2 linked regions of the Drosophila melanogaster genome follow. The protein of the gene in region 2 interacts with the protein of the main gene of each other region in a pairwise test. Each region holds a gene or a part of one and is shown on either strand. Other genes may lie near its edges.

Region 1 (5,806 bases), on a different chromosome or scaffold from region 2:
AATTTCATTGTTAATGATTTAATATACATATTTGATGTTTGCATATGGCATATGTAAGTTAATAATAAGTAAATGTGTACTTATTCATTGATATAGGGGTTGTTAACACCAATAAGTAACTTGTTTTGACCATTTTGCTGAAGTTCTGCCTAATTATGAAAATAATTCTTCTCAGTGTTTGAGGCTGTTGATTAACCCCAAAAAGTAATACATACATATGTATAAATGTAAATATATACATATATGTATGTACGTACATACATTTTTTGGTAAGGATGCAAATGTGTAAAACGTAACTGCGTAAATGTAAGGCGTATTTATAGCGGCTTATTTACGCATTGTTGTTGTGTGGGCCGTACAAAGAAGAACAACAAAGCAGAGGAAGGATGCCCATTTATGCATTCGTGCTGCGCCAAGGAGCGAGCGAGACAGAGAGACAAATTGAGTGAGGGAGAGAAAAGAAAAACAACGCGCTCCCTCTCTCACTCACTCACTGTCTGGGCATGCCACTCAGGCGTGATTATCATGCAGCGAGCACGTGTACATGACTTTGGTTTTGTTTTGCTTGCCGCTGCCCCCTCACCAACGCCTATCAGTTTCTTCTCAACGTTTCATTACCATGCAAACATCCACCGTTCCTCGCTCCGCAAACACAAGCAACAACAATCGCAAACAGTTAGAGGTGCGCACACACGACATACGTAGATACACAGATGCATACATAGATACAGCAAGCTAACAGTTTGATGCATTGATTGAGATAAAGATACAAAATGAGAGTACCGACAAAAATAATTTTTCTTACCAAAAAGAAGATATGTAACTAGATTTAGCTAAATACCCAGAACCTGAAAAGCTTAGAACATTCGCTTTCATAAAGTAACACTGTAAGTATCTATCTATCTATACACCATGCATATGTAAGTTGTTTGTTTATTTGGCTTTCGAGTGAAGGCCGCACGACGCATTTTAATTGCATATTGCAAGCATTTGATAAATTTCCACTCGAGGCAGACCGCTTCCATTTTTCCATTTTCCACTGGAGTCCAACGCTTTGCTTGCGATTAACTGTTACCACCCGCCGAGAATGATGAGAATCAAATCGTGACGTGACTAATGGGGCATCCTCCTCCGATCTGCCTAGCAGCTTTCTAAGAAGAACATATTGTCATCGAAAGTTCTATAAACGGATCCGATGGCCACTTGGCAACGTGCTCTAGATGGCTTCCGTTCTTGGAGGGGTTTTTGGCCAGCTCCTGGACTTTGTTTTGGCCATAAATCTGTCGCACGCGTTTGCCTAATGCATTTGTTGTTCTTTATTAAATTGTTTTGATTGCTCTGCCTGTGGGCTTGTTTTTCTCTCGACTTCTGCGTCCTCCGTGTTAATTCGAATGTGTAAACAAAAGATAAACAACAATCTGGTTCAAGTACACTGCTACAATATTGGGCAAACTGATATCAACATATGTACATATCAATAGAAGAAGTTCAAAAACCAATTAGAGGAATTTATGAATGTTTATTGAAAATATATGCAAAACATTAAACAAAAGCAATAGAATGTTTATTTTCCAGTGGTGTAAGTAATAGTTGTCTATAAATAAATGTGAAATGCTCCGAAATTCACAAAATATGGAAATGCATTTCTATAGATGCAAATGCGGCCATGCAATCCACACAAATGAATACACTCATTTCAAATGTTTCACGCATTCCCTGCGTGCCGTGTATGTGAGCACACAGTGGCGTGCGGATGGTTTAACCAAGGGGTTAAGGATTACTAAGCTGAGTAAGCAGAGTTTTGGAGTTAAATTTAGCAACTAAGAGTGCTGTTGGAATTTAAACTTAAGTTTACATTTTGCAATCTAATGTAATCAGGGATAAATGAATTTATTTGATGCTTTTTAGTAAAGGTTTAAGAGAGTTTTTCAAAACTGAGATAAAAAGGTTGATAGTATTCCGTGAGTAATCTTTTACCACTATCTTTAAAAACGAAATTTATATGTATGCTTATATGTAAACCCACGAATGGCATACAATATTATTTGTTGGATAGATGAATTTGCGACCCCCTTTGCTGGGCCCCTGTGCGTGATGAGTGCGTGTGTGGCTGTGTGAGAGTTCCACTCGTTCCATTTCGTCACCGGCTTTTTTGCTTTTTAGCTGCCGCATCGAGTGAAGCGGCTCAGATGTTCTTTGGAAGTGCGCTGGTCAAGTCGTCGGAAAAGCGCCGAGAAGCAATTGCAGCTAAAGAAAAATCTAGCCAATTCACAAGTAAAAGTGTTAGTCAGTTTGTATAATAAATACACAACGCAGTTGAGTTGCAGTAGTGCAAAAAAACAAAAAAAAAAAAAAAGTGAAAAAATTAACAGAGAACAATTACGAGGACAGCAAAATGCCGGTCGATATATGCAGTCAACCGCACAATTTGCTCAGTTCAATGAGGTAAACTATTAAACGATGCTGATTGAATTTTCCCCATTCTCCCCAATCGAGTTTTCCAATTACCATGGCCTCTAAAGTGAAAATGCAATATGTATCGGGAAAATATCTTGAGTCTTAGGATTTCTTTTAATTTTTATTAGTTTTTAATAGCGTGTTTAATTTAGAGATTTTACTCACAGTTTTGAGTCATAAATTCTCCCAAAAAAGTACAAATGGGAAAAAATTGTGTAAATTTTAAGTATAAATAATTGTTTTTTGTTTTTTAATAATGTGGCATTTATTGCTAGCTGGTGCACTGAGATAAAAACTGATCCCTTATGGTTTCAATTGAGCACTTCCAGAGTTGAAATCATAGAAAAGTAACGAAAGTGCAAGTGGAGTAAGCTCTGATATGATACGATTCGTCACCATCTCTTATCAAACTAATTGAAGCGCCAGACTTCAGACCAGACTAATATCCGATATTATATCTGATATCTTTATGGCCATGGCTTTCCGGCTTTGCTGTATATTAACCAAATCTAATGTGTCCGATTCTAGCTCTATCTTTTGTCAGTTTATTGATGTGGAGTGATTCGTATCTGGATTGTCAGCAAGTCCAATACTTGACCTTTTAGATGTGTGCTCACTGTAATTACAGCACACAAAAAGTAGCTACATTAATGATATTTACATCGAGAACTCTGAATTGTGGCTGGCATTGAAGATCAAGATAGTCGTTTAGAGTGTTTGTATATAGGAAAGGCGAAATAGAACTGCCATATCATGAGGCGGCATTGAAACTATTGAGAACTACGCAATGCGACCTTGGATATGTAATACGCAATCGAAGCTATAGCAATCAAAAACAATCAGAGATATACATATCTTTAAATATATTTAGCTATCAAATAAAGGGTAATTCTCAAGGGATAATCAATTAAAAATCAGAATATATGTACAAAGATACAAAGATATATTTTCGAAATGAGCAAGCCAAGTTTAGTGACCATTTAATTCTTAATGGCAACACCTCTAAATATGATGTATCCATTCCTTTGTCTGATTGCAGTGGAACAACAGATACCTCGTTGTCGCTGAACTCATTGTCCCTGACTTCCGTTCTGCCGCCAACGGATCCCGATCACCATAATCCACACAGTACACACAGTACGCACAACATGAACAAGCTGTGCCGCCAAGTGTCAATTGAGTCGCCCGGTCCGGGCGCCAAGAACTGCGTCTTCAACTTCTTCGTGCCCATCGAGGACACGCCGGCGTTGGGCGCCCGCATCCGGATCGTTTGCGCCGGAGCCTGCTATCGTCGTCGCGATCGCGCCAACTCCATCACCAGCATGTCCTCAGTGTCCTCGGAGCTGAGCGACTACTGTCCGTCGGTGAACTCGATGTCCTCGCCCGCACACCAGGGCATCCGGGAGGGCTCCTTCTTTCCCGGCTTCGAGGTGGCCGGCGTCATCGAGTCCCTGGGCTCGGAGATCACCGAGGCCAACAACCGTGGCCTGCGCATTGGACAGCGCGTGATCGTCTATCCGTTCGATGAGACCCCAGCCGGCTATGCCGAGCTGCTGGTCGTGCCGGACCTGAAGCACGTGGTGCCCATTCCCGACAGTCTGCCCATGGAGGTGGCCGCCATGCTGCCGACGGGCGCCCTGCTCGCCTGGAATGCCGTCTTCAAGGCTCAGGCCGTTGTCACACAGATTCTCAGCCAGCGGGCTGCCACGGAGCCGAAGCGGAAGCCCAAGATCCTCATCGTGGGCACTGGCGGCCTGGCACTCTGGGCCGTGCGCATCGCCTCCTATCACTTTGCCACAACTGGAGCCGACAACGTGGACATCACAGTGGCCAGTCTGCGGGACGAGGGCTTCCGCCTGGCCACAGAAATCAAAAAGTAAGCATCTTGAGGTCCCTCTGATGTGTCATGCTCTAACCATCTAACATCCTCCTCCTTCCTCCAGTGTCAGCGTGGTCCAGTGGAACGAATGCCTGTACGAGCCGCAGCTGATCGAGCGCACCAAGGACGTGTGCGGCGGAGCCGTGGACGTGGTCATTGACTTTGGCACAACCTCCAGGAGTCTGCACCGCTCGATGCACTGCTTGTCGAAGGGCGGCGTTGTGCTGATCAGCGACGAGGTGGCCGAGAAGCTGCTGCCCAAGTTCTCGCGCCTGTCGGAGCAGTACCAGCAGGAGATCATCGCCATCTCGAACGGCACCGCCGAGCAGCTGGCTGAGCTGGTGGAGCTGGTAGCCAACAAGAAGATCGAGCCGCCGCCGCACTCCGTCTTCCCCTGCGAGCAGGCGGCCGAGGTCATCGCCAAGCTGTGCAACTCCGAGATACCCGGACGCGCCATCCTCCGTTTCCACGACATTGAGTAGGCGTGGAGGAGGATATGGTTCCCCATCAAGGCATTAACTCATTTAATATGGATATCTGTTAGCTGTATTCGGAAGACAACCGACAAAACCGACAAAACAACCTGCAACCTGCGACACTCTCGAAGCGGATTCAGAAATGTGCTTATTTTGTAGCCGGTCATTGTTTTGTAACCTTAATTTTGGACTGCAGACGAACTCCTCGTTTTAATTGATTTAGCGTTTTAGGCATTTTTAGTATTATGTACATATAGATTGTGATTTATTTTATTTGTAAGCCACCACCATGATTCTACTTTTGCAAAGTCACCCATCACATCGCCATATTAGCCGGAGTCAAAATTCGGCGGCTTCTTCAATGATTTTCGATTAAGCAAAAAGCCCAGCAGAAGCGGATTACAAAATAAATGTTATACATACTATACACGAAATTGTTACGCATGCGATGCAAATGTTTGATTCAATTGCTTGATGTTTGTACTCATTACGTACCCAACATTATACTCTACTCTTATTCACAAATAAAAACCATTAACTATCAATCCATGGGGGCTGATCTAGGTTGCAACTGCTTTTCCTGATATTTCTTAGGTGCCTCCGTAGGATGGCCAATTTGGCCTCTATATGCTAATCTTTCTTTAGCATACTGTTCCTTTTTTCAAAAGATATTGTAGGCAATATCATTCGATTACAAAGAGTATATCATCGCTAGCATAAAATTGATGTATAGATATCAAATTAGTTTCAGGACAGACTAGTTTTAGCCGATGAAGCTTAAGGTGCAGCAAATTTTCACTTTAAAAACGTTTTTTTTTTAGTTTCAAATGTAACAGCTATTTTTAAAGGTGAGCAACAAACAGATGTGGCAACCCCATAAGCGCTTCTCTTATGGTTGGCAGCCCAAGCCGGACTGATTGGTGTTGGAAAACGCCGCAGGTGGAATTGCGCCAAAAACTGTAAACAGCGCGGCAAGCTGATCGCAAAAGCAAGG
Region 2 (5,243 bases):
TTCAAAGTCATGTTGATTTCTCTTTTTAATGCTCTCTTGAAAACTGATGGCCAGCTGACTTCTAGGTGCTAGTTTCTGGCCCCCGACTGTTGGTGTCTGGTCTTGTATAACAGTTATGAGGCCACATGCCAGCACACACGTTTGCAGACATGCCCTCTCACATACATTCCTACAAACATATGGATATACAGACATACATACGTTCGTAAGCCTGTATGTTCACATGCACTCTCACTTGTAGTTGGAAACGCTCTACTCGTTGTTGTTGCAATTACGGACGAGCCTCTTTGGAAAAAATGCTGGAAAACAAAAAAGATCACAAGACATAAACAACAATGCAAAAACGCAGCACCGAATGGAAATTGCACATGAAATCTAGCTGCAAAAATATGAAACAACAAAATTCCATTGAATGGAGAGCCAGAAAGAGCGAAGTAGAGGGGAAGAGAGTGAGAGAAGGAGGGAGCGGAACTTCAAACTGGGCGGCACGTACACACACAAAAGAGGGCAGGGCGGGGAGACGAGCCCCACGGACACTGAACAAAAATACATACAAATGCAAAGATATATGTATTTGAGGATGTTGACGCGTCGCTAGAACTTGAGAATTCCAAGAAGCGGTAAAAACGGGTGAGACGATGATGGTAGGGGAGTTGGGGAGGGGAAGGTAGCTGTCAACAGCTACGCAAACTTGCTCTCCCATTTTTCTGGGTAAACCTTGCTCTTTCTCATCTAAAACGGCATTGTTATACTAACACCGATGCCGAGGGAGAGCGAGATCGCTGAGAGTGGGAAAGCGGGTGGTGGGGCCCGGCGCCGAACAGGGGGTTCAAAGAACGAAGCCAATACGCAGGCAGCAACGAAAAATCCTATTGGCTACTTTTAAATGCGCTACCGACATTAAATGGATATAAATACATGTGTCTCTATCAAATAAAAAAATTTTGCGTACTAACTGGCGACCCACAATGGTAAATATAGTACAGGTGCTTACCTGTACCTGTGGTCTTACTTTTGACCTTCTTCCTTACACAATTTATAATAAAGGCAGTCTACATGTTTAGCTTGAGCTTAATACAAAAGAGATAATTTATTGGGCCTAGGTGGCGTATGAGTAATAAACGTATACTGAATATTTTCTAATAACTTGTTTGCAAAATCAGAAAACTGTTTTTTCTTATATATTTATATAATATATAATACATTTCTGTGCCACAGAAATTCCATTGCACCCCACAGTTTGTAGGGTGTCAATATCAGCCAAATTGCTGACGACGACAAAAGGCGGCTCTCTCATAAGCGGAAGCAAAAAGAGAGAGCGTCGCCGCCAGGCCCTTGTAGTTCCGCGTTTATGGCACGATAAGAACGAGATATTTCTTAAAAATGTTGTAAATTAGTTAGTTAATAGCGTAATTAATATCAAAACAAATTTAACACAGTGATAATAGGCGACCAATTTAATTTGTCAAAGAAATGCAAAACCATTAACCATTAACATTAATTAAACCATTAACATCTTAAGAAAATAATTTTTTTCCTTGAAGAGAAAAGCCTGAAATATATTGACTATATTTGAGATGACAAATTAAAATGTTTATCAAATGCGTGATCACGATATTGCTTACGCGACGCATAAGGGTTTCCGCATAAACACGCGTTTGACTCATTCTCATTCATAGCCACTCTCTCGCCCCCTCTCTCACGCGCACCCTATCAATATGCCATTTGTGGACCCCTCAGCGTCGCACATATACACGCCATATCTCCAACCATGCCGCCCCAAAACCGATTTTCAGTTTTTGACCTTCAAGGTTCCTTCACGGCGAGCGAGAGAGAGAGAGAGTGAGAGTGTGAGCGCGGCTCGCAGTCGCGGTCGGCGCCGGCAGCGCAGCAGCAGCGACAGCGAAAAGTGAGCACCAGTCGGCGAGTGAATTTAATTTCGTAAAAAACGTTCCGAGCGTTTGGACGCGTGCAGCGGACGAAAATAAAACACGGCGAGAGCGAGAATCGTGTGTGTGGACACTCAAAGACTCAAAATTGAAACCAACTCGAAAAGGTTGCACTGCAAATGCCCAAGTAGAAAAGCCAACGCGAGTGTGCACATCGAATACGAAAATTGTAAACGTTTTTTTTTTGCCGTGTGAGTGCAAGCGCATAAGATCGAAGAAAAACAGCCAGAGCAAGAAAGAACCGAAAAAAGGCAGAGAGAATCAAAAAAGAAAAAAGGAAAAAAAAAACAAGCAGGAAAACACCAACATAATAATGGATCGGGAGCTGAACGGGGCGATGAAGAGCGTGTCCATAAATAGCGCCCAACTGAATGGTCACAATAACGGTGGCGGGCTAGATGAAACGGACCGCGTGGGCGTGGCACAGGGGGCGGCACTGAGTGCAACAGAGAAAATTACAACAACGACGGCGGCAGCTACAAAATCAGCGACAGCGACCACAAATGCAACCACAGCAACAGCCACAACCACAAATCTTACAACTCACAGCCCGCAGCAAATTGCACTCTTATCCGCTGCAGAGAAAAGTAAGATGGTGCACGAGTTATGTCAGCAGCTGCTTCTAACGGACGAACAGGTGCAGGAGCTGTGCTACCGCATCCTGCACGAGCTGCGCCGCGGCCTGGCCAAGGATACACATCCCAAGGCGAATGTCAAGTGCTTCGTAACGTATGTGCAGGATCTGCCCAATGGCAATGAGCGTGGCAAGTTCTTGGCCTTGGATCTGGGTGGCACCAACTTCCGGGTGCTGCTCATCCATCTGCAGGAGAACAACGATTTTCAAATGGAGTCCCGCATCTATGCCATACCGCAGCACATTATGATTGGATCGGGTACACAGCTATTCGATCACATCGCCGAATGTCTGTCCAACTTTATGGCCGAGCACAATGTGTACAAGGAGCGTTTGCCACTCGGTTTCACCTTCTCGTTCCCGCTGCGCCAATTGGGTCTGACCAAGGGCCTGCTGGAGACCTGGACCAAGGGCTTCAACTGCGCTGGCGTCGTCAACGAGGATGTTGTCCAGTTGCTAAAGGATGCCATCGCACGGCGCGGCGATGTCCAGATCGATGTGTGTGCCATACTCAATGACACCACTGGCACGCTGATGAGCTGCGCCTGGAAGAATCACAACTGCAAGATCGGTCTGATTGTCGGCACCGGTGCAAATGCCTGCTATATGGAGCGTGTGGAGGAGGCGGAGCTCTTCGCCGCCGAGGATCCGCGCAAGAAGCACGTCCTGATCAACACGGAATGGGGCGCATTCGGCGACAATGGCGCACTGGACTTTGTGCGCACCGAATTCGATCGGGACATCGATGTGCACAGCATCAATCCGGGCAAGCAGACGTTCGAGAAGATGATATCGGGCATGTATATGGGCGAGCTGGTGCGTCTGGTGCTGGTGAAGATGACCCAGGCGGGTATACTCTTCAATGGACAGGATTCCGAAGTGCTAAACACCCGCGGACTGTTCTTCACCAAGTATGTGAGCGAAATTGAAGCTGACGAGCCAGGCAACTTCACCAATTGCCGCCTGGTGCTGGAGGAGCTCGGTCTGACCAATGCCACCGACGGGGACTGCGCCAATGTGCGGTACATCTGCGAGTGCGTCTCGAAACGGGCTGCCCACCTGGTGTCCGCCGGCATTGCCACGCTGATCAACAAAATGGACGAGCCAACGGTGACGGTGGGCGTCGATGGCAGTGTGTACCGCTTCCATCCCAAGTTCCATAACCTGATGGTCGAGAAGATCTCGCAGCTGATCAAGCCGGGCATCACCTTCGATCTGATGCTGTCCGAGGACGGTTCCGGTCGTGGAGCTGCCCTGGTGGCGGCCGTCGCCTGTCGCGAAGACATACTCAATGGCAAGAAGTAGGATGGATAGGGAGCTGGAGCTGGATCAGGAACCAGGAGGAGGAGCCGCTGGAGCAGCTGGAGCAGTCCTAAGAGATACAGCAACACACCCACACAACCACAAAAACAGCAGAGCAAATGAGAAATACCTAGTAAACGGCCACGGTGGCGTATGCGTAATAATTACAGTAGAGCCACGCTAACTCACAAAAGCCCTATAGCCAAACGATATGAAAAAATGAAGCTGCCACGACGAAAAGTAATCGAAAAGCCCACGAAAAACTTATATGTGCATACGTAGGGCATTTGTGAGTTGGCGCGACTTGGCTTTAGTATTTTAATTAGGCAAAAACCAGGTTTTTCACTACAAACACAAGCGTAACAGAAACCCCCCCACTAAGAGACAGAAGATCTGTGGCATTCTATCTCTTTCTCTCCTAGTAAAAGAAAACAAAGAAGAAGAAAAAACACTATGCTTAATGATTATGGATCGATTTTCGATTTTTGTTGAAAATTTGTTATGCTATTATATATATATATATTTTACAAGAAAACATAATATACACACACTAAAAACATAATGTATATGTTTGCGTATATATAGTACAATTTGTGAAGCGAATTTCTTTTCGATTTCGATTGAAACAACAAATTTTTTTTGGTAATTCCCTGCCCAAAAGACCCCTGAAACCCCCCTAAAAAAACGGAGATACTTAAGAGCAAGTGAGAAAAGAAACTGTTATACTACTGTGCTACAAGCATTCTAGCATATCCTGCAGGACAACGGAAAGAGAAACTGTAAAACCGCACATTGTTAAAGCAAAAACGAAAACGAAAAAAGCAACAAAAAACAAGCCGCTAGAGAAGAGACAGAAACAGAGGGATAGAAAGGAAGAGAGCGAGAGAGAGCGAGCGAGAGAAAGAGAGAGAGGATTACTAGGTAATGCTACGGTGTCCTTTCTGTAATTGTAAATGTTTATATAGAACCTATTACGAAGCGTTATATGATAATACTGCATACATATATATAAATATAAATATGATATATTTAGCCACTATATTACTGATTTTTTTTTTTGTAATGTATTGCTTGTCTTTGTTTAGTGAATTTGTTTGTTGTTAACACTTAAGCAGGTAAACTCTAAACAAAAATAAACTGTTTTTTTTTTTCCTTTTGATATAGAAACGCACTTTGTGAGCTATTATTTATGTAATTGTACATTTGACCTAGTTTAGTGTTTAGTTCTTATCTTAGTTTCTAAATGTCGTCGAAGAAGCCAGCAATACAACCAATATAATACCCCCACCCCAAAAAAAAAACCCAACCCACGCAGCCCTTAATTATATTTAATTATTGTTTACGAACAACAAACGAAG

Evidence for each region.
Region 1: the proteins of Hex-A (region 2) and Drat interact in a two-hybrid assay, tested with the Drosophila melanogaster proteins (one large-scale study listed by BioGRID).

What each region holds. Positions count from the first base shown.
Region 1 is NT_033778.4:7,525,667-7,531,472, reverse strand, and holds Drat (death resistor Adh domain containing target), read left to right. Parts: upstream 1-2,182; 5' UTR 2,183-2,395; coding exon 2,396-2,445; intron 2,446-3,496; coding exon 3,497-4,333; intron 4,334-4,400; coding exon 4,401-4,818; 3' UTR 4,819-5,238; downstream 5,239-5,806.
Region 2 is NC_004354.4:9,583,957-9,589,199, forward strand, and holds Hex-A (hexokinase A), read left to right. Parts: upstream 1-1,933; 5' UTR 1,934-2,262; coding exon 2,263-3,888; 3' UTR 3,889-4,445; downstream 4,446-5,243.